2 linked regions of the Anolis sagrei genome follow. The protein of the gene in region 2 purifies or fractionates together with the protein of the main gene of each other region. This does not show direct contact. Links are inferred from orthologs where the notes say so. Each region holds a gene or a part of one and is shown on either strand. Other genes may lie near its edges.

Region 1 (7,147 bases), on a different chromosome or scaffold from region 2:
GTGTGTGTCATACTTCCCATTCGGAATGATTCAACATCACTACAGGCTGTCCAAAAAATCACCATACATAAGGAAAATGGGAAATTGGAGCTAAATGTACCTTTATTTACAAAATATTCATTACACATTTTTACAAAATATTCTCTACATTTTGGCCACCTCTTTCTACACTAACACACACAAAGTGTAATTTTTTCCTATGTATGGAGACTTTTGTGACACCCTATAGAGATACAAGTGCATTAGCACTACTTCATCAGTTCTGAAAAGGAGATGTACCTATAATCTCGGGGCATTAAAACAAAGCTGGACTTGCATAAAACTATTAATGTGGGATCACCAAAAATAATTTAAAAATAGATTGAAAATAGCGAATTGCATACTCTATATAACTCTCATTTTGACCTCATCAACAGGCTGTGCCACATAATAATAATAATAATAATAATAATAATAATAATAATAATAATATGGAACCAAGCATTTGGAGAGTAGTTACAGTGCAATATGCAGCTACAAAGTTAAGATGGTTGGAATGGCTTTTGGATTATGATTTCAGGACGACGTGCTATGCTTTAACTGCTTATTTAAATGTATTTATATCTTTCTGCTTTTTTTATTTTAATGTATTTATTTATTTATTTATTTCTGACATTTATATCCCATCCTATCTCGACTTCCGCAGAGGGACAACAAAAGCATAAATATACATCTTAGGTCAAAACAGTATAAAACATTATAAAAACATAAAAACAGTGAAACATTAGAACAATCGGCAGAATTAAATCGTCGTCCTACACACAGTCCAATTGAGTCCATTAAACCATAGCTCTACCATCATGTTGCTCTAGTCTGCTGATCCCACAGCCTTGATTTCACCTTTTTCCGGAAGGTCAGGAGCAGGTCTGATTTTACTCAGGAGGGAATTCCATAGCCAAGGGGCCACAACAGAGAAGGCCCTGTCTCTCCCCCTCCCCCCACAACCGCAATTGTAATGATGGGGGGGACAGAGAGCAGGCCCCCTCGAACAATCTTAAGGTCCTAGGTGCTTCGTAGCGGGAGATACGTGTGGACAGGTAAACTGGGCCAGAACCGTTAAAGGCTTTATACTTACTTTCTTAGGCGATTCCTCGTTGTCCGAGTAGGATAGTCTTCCATGATCAGTGTGCTGGTGGATCCGTAGGTGACTGTGCAGCCCTATTTTTGATCTGCATTGTCTCCCACAGTGAGGGCATTGGTTTCCAGGTGGAAGGCGGTCTTGGTTGGGGTTGGCTTGACGCGCCTTCCTCTTGGCACATTTCTCTCTTTCACCCTCCATTCGTGCCTCTTCAAATTCTACAGCACTGCTGGTCACAGCTGACCTCCAGTTGGAGCGCTCAAGGGCCAAGGATTCCCAGTTCTCAGTGTCAATGCCAGAGTTTTAAAGGTTGGCTTTGAGCCCATCTTTAAATCTCTTTTCCTGTCCGCCAACCTTCCGTTTTCCATTCTTGAGTTCGGAGTAGAGCAACTGCTTTGGGAGACGGTGGTCAGGCATCCGGACAACGTGACCAGTCCGGCAGAGTTGATGGCGGAGGACCATAGCTTCAATGCTGGTGGTCTCTGCTTCTTCCAGCACGCTGACATTTGTTCGCTTGTCTTCCCATGAAATTTGCAGGATTTTCCAGAGGCAGCGCTGATGGAATCGTTTCAGGAGTTGCATGTGGCATCTGTAGACAGTGCACGTCTCGCAGGCGTAGAGCAGAGTTGGGAGGACAGTAGCTTTATAAACAAGCACCTTGGTCTCCCTCGGATTTATTATTATTATTATTATTATTTATTATGCCCCAGTCCTCAAACACTCTCTGCTTCATTCGGAAAAAAGCTGCACTTGCAGAGCTCAGGCGTTGTTGTATTTCAGTGTCAATATTGACTTCTGTGAAGAGGTGGCTGACAAGGTAGCGGAAATAATCAACATTTTCGAATGTTATACCATTAAGCTGTGTTTCTGGCATTGGAGAGGGATTGGCTGGTGACTGCTGGAAGAGCACTTTGGTTTTCGTATGATATTGTTTCTAGCACCCACGTTTTGCTTGATATTCATACGAAAGCTGACTGGCACAACCTGGGGATCACAACCAGACACAGTGAAGACATCTGCCCTTGCACTATGCTACTCTGCTGCTGAGTACGCATGCCCAGTGTGGAACACATCTCACCATGCTAAAACAGTGGATGTGGCTCTTAATGAGACATGCTGCATTATCACGGGGTGTCTGCGCCCTACACCACTGGAGAAATTACACTGTCTAGCCGGTATTGCACCACCTGACATCCGCCGGGAAGTAGCAGCCAATAGTGAAAGGACCAAATGTAGTGACATCTCCTACTCATCCCTTGTTTGGGTATCAGCCAGCACATCAACGACTTAAATCAAGAAATAGTTTTCTTAGATCTACAGAGACACTCGCTGGAACACCTCAGCAAGCGAGAGTCCAAAAGTGGCAGACTCAAACCCAGCACCTCAATCCATGGGTGATACCAGATGAGAGACTCCCTCCTGGGCACACAGAAGTCTGGGCGACTTGGAAGGCGCTGAACAGACTGCGCTCTGGCACCACGAGATGCAGAGCCAACCTTAGGAAATGGGGCTATAAAGTGGAATCCATGACATGCGAGTGTGGAGAAGAACAAACCACTGACCACCTGCTGCAATGCAACCTGAGCCCTGCCATATGCACAATGGAGGACCTCCTTGTGGCAACACCAGAAGCACTCCAAGTGGCCAGATACTGGTCAAAGGACATTTGATCAACTACCAAGCTTGCAAATTTTGTGTTTTGATTGTTTGCTTTGCTCTGTTAGAAATGTAATACAATTGTCTGGCTGCCCCTGACACGATAAATAAATACTTTGGTTTGATCGATGTTCAATGACATGCCGAGCTTCTCCGTGAAAAATACTAAAACCTATTATGCTGAGTTTCCTAACTGGATATTTTAAGTTGATTTTAATAATGTGTGGGATAGAAAAGTTTGGCCTTCCCTCAAATATCAACCCAGAATGGGAAAATTCTATTCTGTACTTGGCCTGAATCTTTTCCATCATTTCCCGAAGCCATTTCTACCTCCAGGGACCACAATCCTCCCGCTGCGCAAGCTTCGCAATTTTTTCCTTCTGCCATCCCGTTGTTAGAGCTAGCTTTGATGTCGTACGCGCAGATTCGCGAGGCTCCCATTTTGTCACGAGAGGAAAAAAATACCCAAAGAACCCCCGCTCTTTCCGCTCAACATCCTTTAACCCCTTCTCAAGCAAGAACTTCCATTTTCAAAGCGGAGCCTTTTAAGTCGGAAAGTGCGAGTCCGGAACGGCCGACCAGTTTCCTTTTTCCCCCGTTGCGCCTTGCTCTTGTAAGATTTAGGCTGCTGTTTAGAATCGAATGATTCGTCTCTAGGAGAAAACAAAAAAAGGAGATTCTTACGTTCTATGGAATCACACGGAGACTTTTTTAAAAAAGAAAATCATATATTGACGTAGTTATAATGAGTCTTTTCCTCCTCATCTAATTCGTTCTCTACAGTGTGACGAAAGTAATTTTCATTTTCAAAGCAGAGCCTTTTAAGTCGGAAAGTGCAGATACGGAACGGCCGACCAGTTTCCTTCTTTTCCCTTTGAGCCTTGCTCTTGTCAGATTTAGGCTGCTGTTTGGAATCGAAAGATTCGTCACTAGGAGAAAAAAATAAAGGAGATTCTTGCATTCTATGGAATCACACGGAGACTTTTTTAAAATCATATATTTGTGTAGTTCTAATAACGGGTCATTTTTCCCCCTTTATCCAACTCGTTCTCTACAGTGTGACGAAAGTAACATTCATTTTCAAAGCAGAGCCTTTTAAGTCGGAAAGTGCGGCTCCGGAACATTTGAGCCTCCCTCTTGTAAGATTTAGGCTGCTGTTTGGAATCGAACAATTCGTCACTAGGACTGGAAACAAGAAAAAAAAAATCTTACATTCTGTGGTAGAACCACGGGGAGACTTTTAAAAAAATAGTATAGTTGTGTAGTTATAATAATCATTTTCATTTTTCCCTCCTTCGTCTAACTCGTTCTGTACAGCGTGGCGAAAGTGCGGTTGAGGAAACGGAAGGAGGAGAGAACAACAAACCAAACACCGTCACCATAGAGAAGAACAAGGGTGGCGACGACGAAGGAGAGGGGGAAGCAGGATCTCGCGAGACCCGGCGAGAGTCTCGAATCGGAGGTTTTGGCCCCGCCCACTGGTCCCTGTCGGCAGCGGCGGTGGCAAGAGGTAGCGGGTGCTTGTCACCCTTTTCCCTTCTTTCCCTTCTCCCCACCTTCTCTCGCTCGCTCTTCCTCAGACCTCGGCTTGTCCTCTATGGGCGGAGAGCGGGAAGAAGGCCGCGAGTGGGAGAGAAGAGACTGAGAAAGGCAGGAGGGTGCGCGAGCCAGGCCGGGCCGAGAGGGAGGGAGGGAGGGGGAGGGGGAGGGGGGCGTGCGCGCGCCTGGCTCCTGAGAGAGAGTGAAGGGAGGGGGGAGGGGGCGCGCGCTCTCTCTCTTCCGCGAGGCGCCAATGACGGGTGGGGGGGGGGGGGGCGAGGGAGCGGGAGCGCGCGCGGGGGTGCACCTGGTGGGCGGGGCCGGGCACTGGGCCTGGTTTTGTGTGTATGTGTGTGTGTGTGTTGTTTTGTTTTGGTTTTATTTTGGAGGATGGAGGGCTGGGAAGGAGAAGATAGGATCCTGTCTTAATCTGTGTGTATCTGCATATCGGTATGTCTATCTATCTATCAGGCATGGGTAAATTTGGGCCTCCCTCCAGGTGTTTTGGACTCCAACTCCCACCATTCCAAAGATCCAGAGGAATAAGATAGGATCCCCCCCCCCCCCCCGTATATATGTATGCACATCTATCTATCAGGCATGGGCAAACTTGGGAGAAGATAGGATTCTCTCTCTTCTTTCTCTCTCTGTATATATGTATGTATGCATATCTATCTATCTATCAGGCATGGGCAAACTTGGGAGAAGATAGGATTCTCGCTCTTCTTTCTCTCTCTGTATATATGTATGCATAACTATCTATTTATCAGGCATGGGCAAACTTGGGCATCCCTCCAGGTGTTTTGGACTCCAGCTCCCACTATTCCTAATATCCAGAGGAATAAGATAGGATCTCCCCCCCCCCCCCCCGTATATATGTATGCATATCTATCTATCAGGCATGGGCATACTTGGGAGAAGATAGGATTCTCTCTCTTCTTTCTCTCTCTGTATATATGTATGTATATCTATCTATCTGTCTATCAGGCATGGGCAAATTTGGGCCTCCCTCCAGGTGTTTTGGACTTCCAACTCCCACTATTCCAAAGATCCAGAGGAATAAGATAGGATCCCCCCCCCCCCTCTCTGTATATATGTATGCATATCTATCTATCAGGCATGGGCATACTTGGGAGAAGATAGGATTCTCTCTCTTCTTTCTCTCTCTGTATATATGTATGCATATCTATCTATCTATCAGGCATGGGCAAACTTGGGCCTCCCTCCAGGTGTTTTGGACTCCAACTCCCACCATTCCTAACAGCCATAGGGAGAAGATAGGATCTCCCCCCCCCCCCCCCTGTATATATGTATGCATATCTATCTATCAGGCATGGGCAAACTTGGGCCTCCCTCCAGGTGTTTTGGACTCCCAACTCCTACTATTCTTAACAGCCATAAGGAGAAGATAGGATTCTCTCTCTTCCTTCTCTCTCTGTATATATGTATGCATATCTGTCTATCTGGCATGGGTAAACATGGGCCTCCCTCCAGGTGTTTTGGACTCCAACTCTTCCAATTCTTTGGAAGCTTTTAAACAGAGGTTGGCTGGCCATCTGTAAGGGGTGATTTGAATGCAATGTTCCTGCTTCTTGGCAGAATGGGGTTGGACTGGATGGCCCATGAGGTCTCTTCCAACTCTTTGATTCTATGATTCCAGTTGGTTTGGACTCCCACTATTCCTAAGAGCCATAGGGAGAAGATAAGATTATCTCTCTTCTTTCTCTCTCTGTATATGTATGCATATCTATCTATCTGACATGGGCAAACTTGGGCCTCCCTCTAGATGTTTTGGACTCCAATTCCCACTATTCCTAATAGCCAGAAGGAGAAGATAGGATCCTCTCTCTCTCTTTCTCTGTATATATGTGTGTGTGTGCATATCTATATATCTATCTGGCATCGGCAAACATGGGCCTCCCTCCAGGAGTTTTGGACTCCAACAGCCAGAGGGAGGAAGGAGAAGATAGGATCCACCTCTCTCTCTCTGTATATATGAATTTATATCTTTCTTACTATCTGCATGGGCAAACTTGGGCCTTCCTCCAGATGACTTCAACTCTCACAATTCCTAACAGCCAGAGATAGGAGGGAGAAGATAGGATTCCCACCCCCACCCCCCTTATATATGTATGCATATCTATCTATATATCTATCTGACTTGGGCAAACTTGGGCTTCCCTCCAGGTGTTTTGGACTCCAACATCCCCCCCCCCCAAATATATATATTTGTGTGTATGCTTATCTATATATCTTGCATGGGCAAATTTGGGCTTCCCTCCAGGTGTTTTGGACTCCAACACCCCCCCCCCCATATATATGTATGCATATCTATCTATCTTGCATGGGCAAACTTGGGCCTCCCTCCAGGTGTTTTGGACTCCGACTCCCACCATTCCTAACAGCCTCAGGACCCTTCCTCCCCCCCCCCCCCCCACAACAGCCTCAGGTCCCTGAGGGGGGAAAGGAAAGGTCCTGAGGCTGTTAGGAATGGTGGAAGTTGGAGTCCAAAATACCTGAAGGAAGGGTCCAAGTTTGTCCATCTCTGATGTAGATGTGAGGCCTGTACAACTTGTGGCCCTCTTTGTGTTTGGGGCCCCCAACTCCCAGGAGGCCTAGCCAGCTTGCCCAATGGTCAAGCATTCTAGCAACCAAGGGCCCAAACCACAGGCTGTGCAGGCCTGATCTATAAGGTATTAGTAAGTGTGGGATACAAGAGGGGGGAATATTTCATTTTATATATATAGAAAGAGAGATAATGTGGTATAGCATGGAGAGGTGGTGAGGAGAAAGTCCTGATATATATGGAGTGGAGGAGAAGCAAAGTAAGATTAA
Region 2 (6,899 bases):
GCTGGTACAGTTTAGGTGATGTGTCAAAACTTCGTTCCATAGAGGTTTTCCAAACTTGAAATGCAATTTCAACCCTGGTCCTTAATTTTGTTTCTAATGTTTGTTGTTATACATATTTTTAATTATTTCTAAATTTTAAGTTGACCTAGACCTAGAGGCTCTTTTTGAGCCAAATGGTGAATTAAACACAGTGTTATCAATTAATTATTTCTAGGTACTTCACTATTATATCAGGTGTTACCAGCCACAGTTTAGACAAACACTCTCAGCCTTTTGTATGCACAGGTTCAACCATCCACAGCTTGAAAAAATATTTTCAACTCATTAAACAACCCTATTTTACTATGCCATTTTAAAATAACAGGACTCCAGCATTCACAGATTTTGATATCCACAGGGACCAAACCAGCAGACATCAGGGGCCCACTGTACTTATAACATTGAACTCAACCATGTAGGCATTAAGCACAGATAACATCTCTTCCCATATGCATTTTCATTGCAACTCTTGCACTGGCTATAACGAAAAACCAGACAACTGCAAAATTTGAAACTGATGGCTTGAATGCCACATTTATTAATCAATTCTTGAGCTTATATGTAAGGTTCTCTAAAACTGCAAGACCATGTGTTTAAAAATAAACCATGCAAAAATCATTCAAATAAACAATGGTCCCCAGCCAAAGACATGTTCATATGCCTTCAAATACCTTAACTATGAAAAACTTCAATAACCCGCAACATCTCAACTACAAAAGATTCAATGTGAGATTAAAAACTGATCTAACTAAAATTTCCTTTTTGGCAGAATCGCTCCAGCAAGCATATTGTTCTATCTAGATAAATGTTATTTCAGGTCTTATCAATAGTGAACAGCTTAAAATAATAAAGACTGCAGCAAATGTTTTCTCTAAAAATAAACCCGCAGCATATTGAACGGCATTTAATGACTCTACAGAAATATTATGCAACTTCTCTTCCCTAGATACAGGATCAATCTGTGCTCAAAATATTTATCCATTTCAATTTTTGAAAATACTCTACAGAAATCTTGGGAGGGAAAAAATCAAATCTTCAGCTTGCAATTGGACAAAAATAAGCCAAAACTAAACTAACATCACTTCTGTAAGCCCCTGGCTATTGTGTTTCATTTGGAAGATCTGCGAGGTGTGCGAAGAATACATATTGGCAATCAAAAAAACCTTGACACTTTATGCCAGTTTTAAAACATCACACATTTGCTAACATATTTATCAGAAAAAATGAAAAGCTGAGGGTGAAATACCATATTTCATTGACTGAGATACAGCCCACTTTTGAAGTTCCAATTTAGGGGGAAAACCTATTTGAACTTTGATTTTTAGATTTTTTTTTTTATAGTCCTCACCCCAACTTTTCTTGTTTCTCTCTCTGGATTTCCTGGCCAGCCTAAAGCCTCCTCAACCTGTACCTGATGCTGTTATCAGCTGGTGCATAGTTTCTCATCTCTGGGCTGCCACTTTTTGAACCTTATCACGCTACAGCAGTGGTTCTCGACCTGTGGGACCCCAGGTATTTTAGTCTTCAACTCCCAGAAATCCTAACAGCTGGTAAACTGGGATTTCTGGGAGTTGTAGGTCAGAACACGTGGGGATCCACAGGTTGAGAACCACTGTGCTAGAGAATGGATCCATTTTAAACCAGTGGTTCTCACCCTGTGGGTCCCCACGTGTTTTGGCCTTCAAATCCCAGAAATCCTAACAGCTGATAAAATGGATGGAATTTCTGGGAGTTGTAGGCCAAAACACCTGGGGACCCACAGGTTGAGAACCACTGCTTTACATCCTGTGGATGCCTCCCGCAGAATTCTGGGGTTTGTAGTTTAATGAGGTCCAGGACCTGCCTGGCTGAGCATTTTAAAGGCCCTTTCTCTAAACTACAAATGCCAGAATTCTGCAGGAGGCAGACACAAGATTTAAATGGATAGGTGCTCTAGGTTGATGAAATCCTTAATTACTGCTGTCACTCTAGTATGGTCAGTTTTTTAATAAGGGAGATTGGAGCAGCAGCTGAGATGGGGTCTTTTGCTTGCTTCGCGAAAGCATTTTTCACTGGCTTAGAGTGGCTAGAAGACCTGGACCCAGAATCTGGCTTCTCTCTCTCTCTCTCTTTCTTTGTGTGGCTTTGCCCATTGGGAGTGGAAGTGGCAGACCCAAGTGGCAGACCCAAAGAGAGGAGGAAGACTGGAATAAGGAAGCCATGAGTGTGAGGCAACAATGGAAAGGAGGAGCAATGGAGAGCTGCTACTTCACACTCCGGGTGCACAGGACTTCGTCTCATCTCTTTTCTGCTGTTAGAATGTTTATTTATTTACTTACTGTATTTGTATACCGCCTTTCTCAGCCTGCAGGCGACTAAAGGCAGTCAACAGGGCAAAATTCAATGCTTACAATGTCTTGTTGTTGTTCATTCGTTCAGTCGTCTCCGACTCTTTGTGACCTCATGGACCAGCCCACGCCAGAGCTCCCTGTTGGCTATCACCCCCCCCCCCCCAGCTCCTTCAAGGTCAGTCCAGTCACTTCAAGGATGCCATCCATCCATCTTGCCCTTGGTCGGCCCCTCTTCCTTTTACCTTCCACTTTCCCCAGCATCATTGTCTTCTCTAAGCTTTACTGTCTCCTCATGATGTTCCCGAAGTACTTCAACTTTGTCTCTAGTATCCTTCCCTCCAATGAGCAGCCGGGCTTTATTTCCTGGAGGATGGACTGGTTGGATCCCCCAGCAGTCCAAGGCACTCCCAGAACTCCCCTCCAACACCACAGGTCAAAAGCATCTATCTTCCTTCGCTCAGCCTTCCCCAATGTCTTAAGTACAATTAAAAACATAAATAACATATAACAAAAACTAAACAAATCAATAAAATATAAGTTTATAGTGTCTCCTTGTTAAAAACATTGTACGGACTCTTTGTCTAATCATTCCATTTTCACATGTCAGTTATTCTGCATTTGCAAATGCTTGTTCAAAAAGCCACGTCTTGACTTTTTTCCGGTATGTAAAAATGGAGGTGGCCGATCTAATACCTGTAGGGAGGGCATTCCACAGCCAAGGGGCCACCACCGAGAAGGCCCTGTCTCTCGTCTCTGCCAAACATACTTGAGGCGGTAATATTTGCTGGATGGCTGAATAATGCAGTTTTCCACATTTAAAAGAAAAGAGAGAGAGAGAGAGAGAGAAAAGGGGGGGGGGGTTAGCAGCAACTTTGAGTCTATGGTTGCTCCTACACTATTAAACGAATGCAGTTTTGACACTGCTTTAACTGCTATGGTTTAAACTTGGGATTTCCAGCTTGATAAGACACCAGCACTCTTTGCCAAGATAAGGCAAAAGACCTTATGAGACCAGAAATCCCAGCATTTGAAGCATGGCAGGTAAAGTGGTGTGAAACTGCTTTCAATCTACAGTGCAGATGCAACCATAAAAAGGGCTGCTAAATGACACCCCCTTAATATTTTTATTTATTAAACTGCATTATTCGAGCGATCCAAACATAAAGGACAGCTTGACATTGAACAAGACAAGCGCTGACAATTACCAGTCAAACCATTCTTAACACCACTAATATCCCAATGCTCCTCCCGTCGTTGCAGTGACTGAGCCACGCTCATGTGCCTTTTTTTCTATATTTCTTCTATCGGCTCCGGAAGCGGAAGCGTCGAGAAGTCACGCTAGCTTCGAAGCAGGACGTTCTAGGAAGTCAAAACAAACAAAAAAATCCCAATGGAACGGCGGCTCCCTTCGCACGCGCCTCCTCGGACTCCTCCTTCAGCGAAAGTCCATTGGCGAGAAGGCGCCAGGCCGCCATTTTTAGCGTAGTATCTCCGAGGCGTCTAGAACTTCAACTCCCAGAATTCCTTATCGTTGGCCGAAGCATCCGAGACTTCTGGGAGTTGAAGTCCAATTGGAGTTTGGGCCTCATTTGGCATGGATAGTCTTTTCTTGTTGTGGCTAATACCGGAAACGGAAGTAGTCGCGGGCAGGCGCTCTGGCCTACTATTGCCGAGCGTCTTGTCGTCTTGTTTCAGAACAAGGGAACTGGCCGAGAGAGAAAGGAAGAGAGCGGGAGATCATGGTGAGGAGGAGGAGGAGCCGGCGGCATTGGGGTCCGCCATTCCCTCAGCCCGGCCTTCCGTTGCTGAGGGCGGGAAGGAGGGAAGCGTCTGTGGGGGGCTCTGGGTTTCCTTCCCAGCCTAGGGAGCCAGTGCTCATGGGCTCCACCCTGGGAAGGGCACTGACCACTAGCAGGGGCCTGGCTCTGTCTTTACCCAGAATGGCTAGCAAGGACTCTCCTGGGTGAAGACAGAGCCAGGCCCCTGCTGGTGGTCAGTGCTCTTCCAAGGGTGCATCCACACTATAGAGTTAATGCAGTTTGACACCGCTTTGACGGCCATGGCTCCGTGCTATGGAATCTGTCGTTTCGTAAGACCCTTGGCCTTCTCTGCCTAAAAGTGCTGGTGACCCCTCGAACTACAACTCCTGTGATTCCATAGCGCTGAACCTTGAAAATGGTGTCAAACTGTATTCATTCCACAGAGTAGATGCACCTCCTCTCTGTCAAAGAGTTTTGCAGAGCCGTTGACAGGTCTTTGGCTTTTGGGAGGCTCCTTTGTGCAGTGATTCTTAGTCTCTTGAGTGCAGCTTGCTCCATGGTAGGTATGCACAAGTCTGCAGCTTTATTGTTGTTGTTGTTTTGTAGAAATCTGTCTGGAAGTATGGAGGTGAAGCAAATGTCACTGCAAAGATCGGCGGCTAGATTGTTAACTGGAGCAAGTTACAGAGAGCGGTCAACCCTCCTGTTTAAATATCTCCACTGGCTGCCGATAAGTTTCCAGTGCAGGTTATCATAGAATCATAGAGTTGGAAGAGACCTCATGGGCCATCCAGTCCAACCCCCTGCCAAGAAGCAGGAATATTGCATTCAAATCACCCCTGACAGATGGCCATCCAGCCTCTGTTTAAAAGCTTCCAAAGAAGGAGCCTCCACCACACTCCGGGACAGAGAGTTCCACTGCTGAACGGCTCTCACAGTCAGGAAATTCTTCCTCATGTTCAGATGGAATCTCCTCTCTTGTAGTTTGAAGCCATTGTTCCGCGTCCTAGTCTCCAAGGAAGCAGAAAACAAGCTTGCTCCCTCCTCCCTGTGGCTTCCTCTCACATATTTATACATGGCTATCATATCTCCTCTCAGCCTTCTCTTCTTCAGGCTAAACATGCCCAGCTCCTTAAGCCGCTCCTCATAGGGCTTGTTCTCCAGACCCTTGATCATTTTAGTCGCCCTTCTCTGGACACATTCCAGCTTGTCAATATCTCTCTTCAATTGTGGTGCCCAGAATTGGACACAATATTCCAGGTGTGGTCTAACCAAAGCAGAATAGAGGAGTAGCATTACTTCCCTGGACCTAGATACTATGCTCCTATTGATGCAGGCCAAAATCCCATTGGCTTTTTTTGCCGCCACTTCACATTGTTGGCTCATGTTTAACTTGTTGTCCACGAGGACTCCAAGATCTTTTTCACACATACTGCTCTCAAGCCAGGCATCCCCCATTCCGTATCTTTGCATTTCGTTTTTCCTGCCAAAGTGGAGTATCTTGCATTTGTCACTGTTGAACTTCATCACCTATAAAGCTCTAAACGGTTCAGTACCTGGCTATCTGTGTGACCGCCTCCTCCCTTACGAGCCCACGCGGTCCTTAAGATCATCCGGGGATGCCCTTCTCTCGTTCCCGCCCCCGTCTCAGGCACAGTTGGTGGGGACGAGAGAGAGGGCATTCTCGGTGGTGGCCCCCCGTCTCTGGAACTCCCCAGGGAGATTAGGCTGGCACCCTCCCTAGTCACATTCCATAAGGAATTAAAGACGTGGATGTTTCGCCATGCTTTCGATTGACGACTTCTATGACAAATGGCCTGTATCATGACTTGAATTGTCATTCAATCTGATGTCCTATATTGTATTAACTATTGTCTGTTTCCGTGATTTTTCCTATGCCGTTATACATTGTCATCTACCTTACTAAACCACTTTATCCTTTAACTAGCTCACGTAGTGGTTTTCCTCCCCCACTCCAAAATTAGTCTGCTGTTGTTGTTGCTAGCTATTTTTGTTATGTTGTTTTATGCTGTTTTAATTGTTATTGCTTTATTTTAATTGTATTCTGCCTGGGCTTGGGCCCCATGTAAGCCGCCCCGAGTCCCTTTGGAGACATGGAGGCAGAGTAGAAAAATTAAGTTTTTCTTCTTCTTAAATGTGTTTGCCATGATTCATTTTTTCTCTTCTTCTGTGCAACTCAGGATGAATTTTCTGACCCAGATCTAGCTGTTCTGGGCGAGGAGTCCAAATCAGAGAATGGAGAGAACGCTCCAGTTTACTGCATTTGCCGCAAACCAGATATCAATTGTTTCATGATGTGAGTATTTCTGAGGGAATTTTTAAAATGTCATCAGCAACTTGAGAAACTGCAAGTCACTTCTAGTGTGAGAGAATTGACTGTCTCTAAGGACATTGCCCAGGAGACGTCCAGATGTTTTACCATCTTGTGGGAGGCTTCTCTCATTTCCCCACATGGAGAGCTGGAGCTGACAGACGGGATCTCACCCTGTTCCCTGAATTCGAACCACCAACCTTTCGGTCACTGGCACAAGGGTTCAATACATTGTGCCACTGTGGCAACATTTCATTGGAATACAGTACATTCCCTGTATCCGGGGTGGGGTGGGCTGTGCTGCTGCATCTGCACAAGGCCTGGGCAAACTTCAGCCCTTCAGTGTTTTGGACTTCAACTCCCACAATTCCTAATAGCCAGTAAGCTGGCTGGGATTTCTGAGAGTTGGAAGTCCAAAGCACCTGGCAGAACGAAGTT

What was found. Proteins that work in one complex are often made in the same cells at the same time.
Region 1: the proteins of CXXC1 (region 2) and SETD1A purify together in Homo sapiens (affinity purification with western blotting; 16 studies listed by BioGRID and IntAct, counting the BioPlex papers as one, with this or other methods). This does not show direct contact. The link is inferred for Anolis sagrei from reciprocal best matches to the Homo sapiens genes CXXC1 and SETD1A.

What each region holds. Positions count from the first base shown.
Region 1 is NC_090026.1:14,488,121-14,495,267, forward strand, and holds the start of SETD1A (histone-lysine N-methyltransferase SETD1A), read left to right. Parts: upstream 1-4,140; 5' UTR 4,141-4,283; intron 4,284-4,296; exon of another isoform or gene 4,297-4,431; intron 4,432-7,147. UniProt on the Homo sapiens protein: Histone methyltransferase that catalyzes methyl group transfer from S-adenosyl-L-methionine to the epsilon-amino group of 'Lys-4' of histone H3 (H3K4) via a non-processive mechanism.
Region 2 is NC_090022.1:193,735,525-193,742,423, forward strand, and holds the start of CXXC1 (CXXC-type zinc finger protein 1), read left to right. Parts: upstream 1-3,883; 5' UTR 3,884-4,108; coding exon 4,109-4,111; intron 4,112-6,330; coding exon 6,331-6,446; intron 6,447-6,899. UniProt on the Homo sapiens protein: Transcriptional activator that exhibits a unique DNA binding specificity for CpG unmethylated motifs with a preference for CpGG.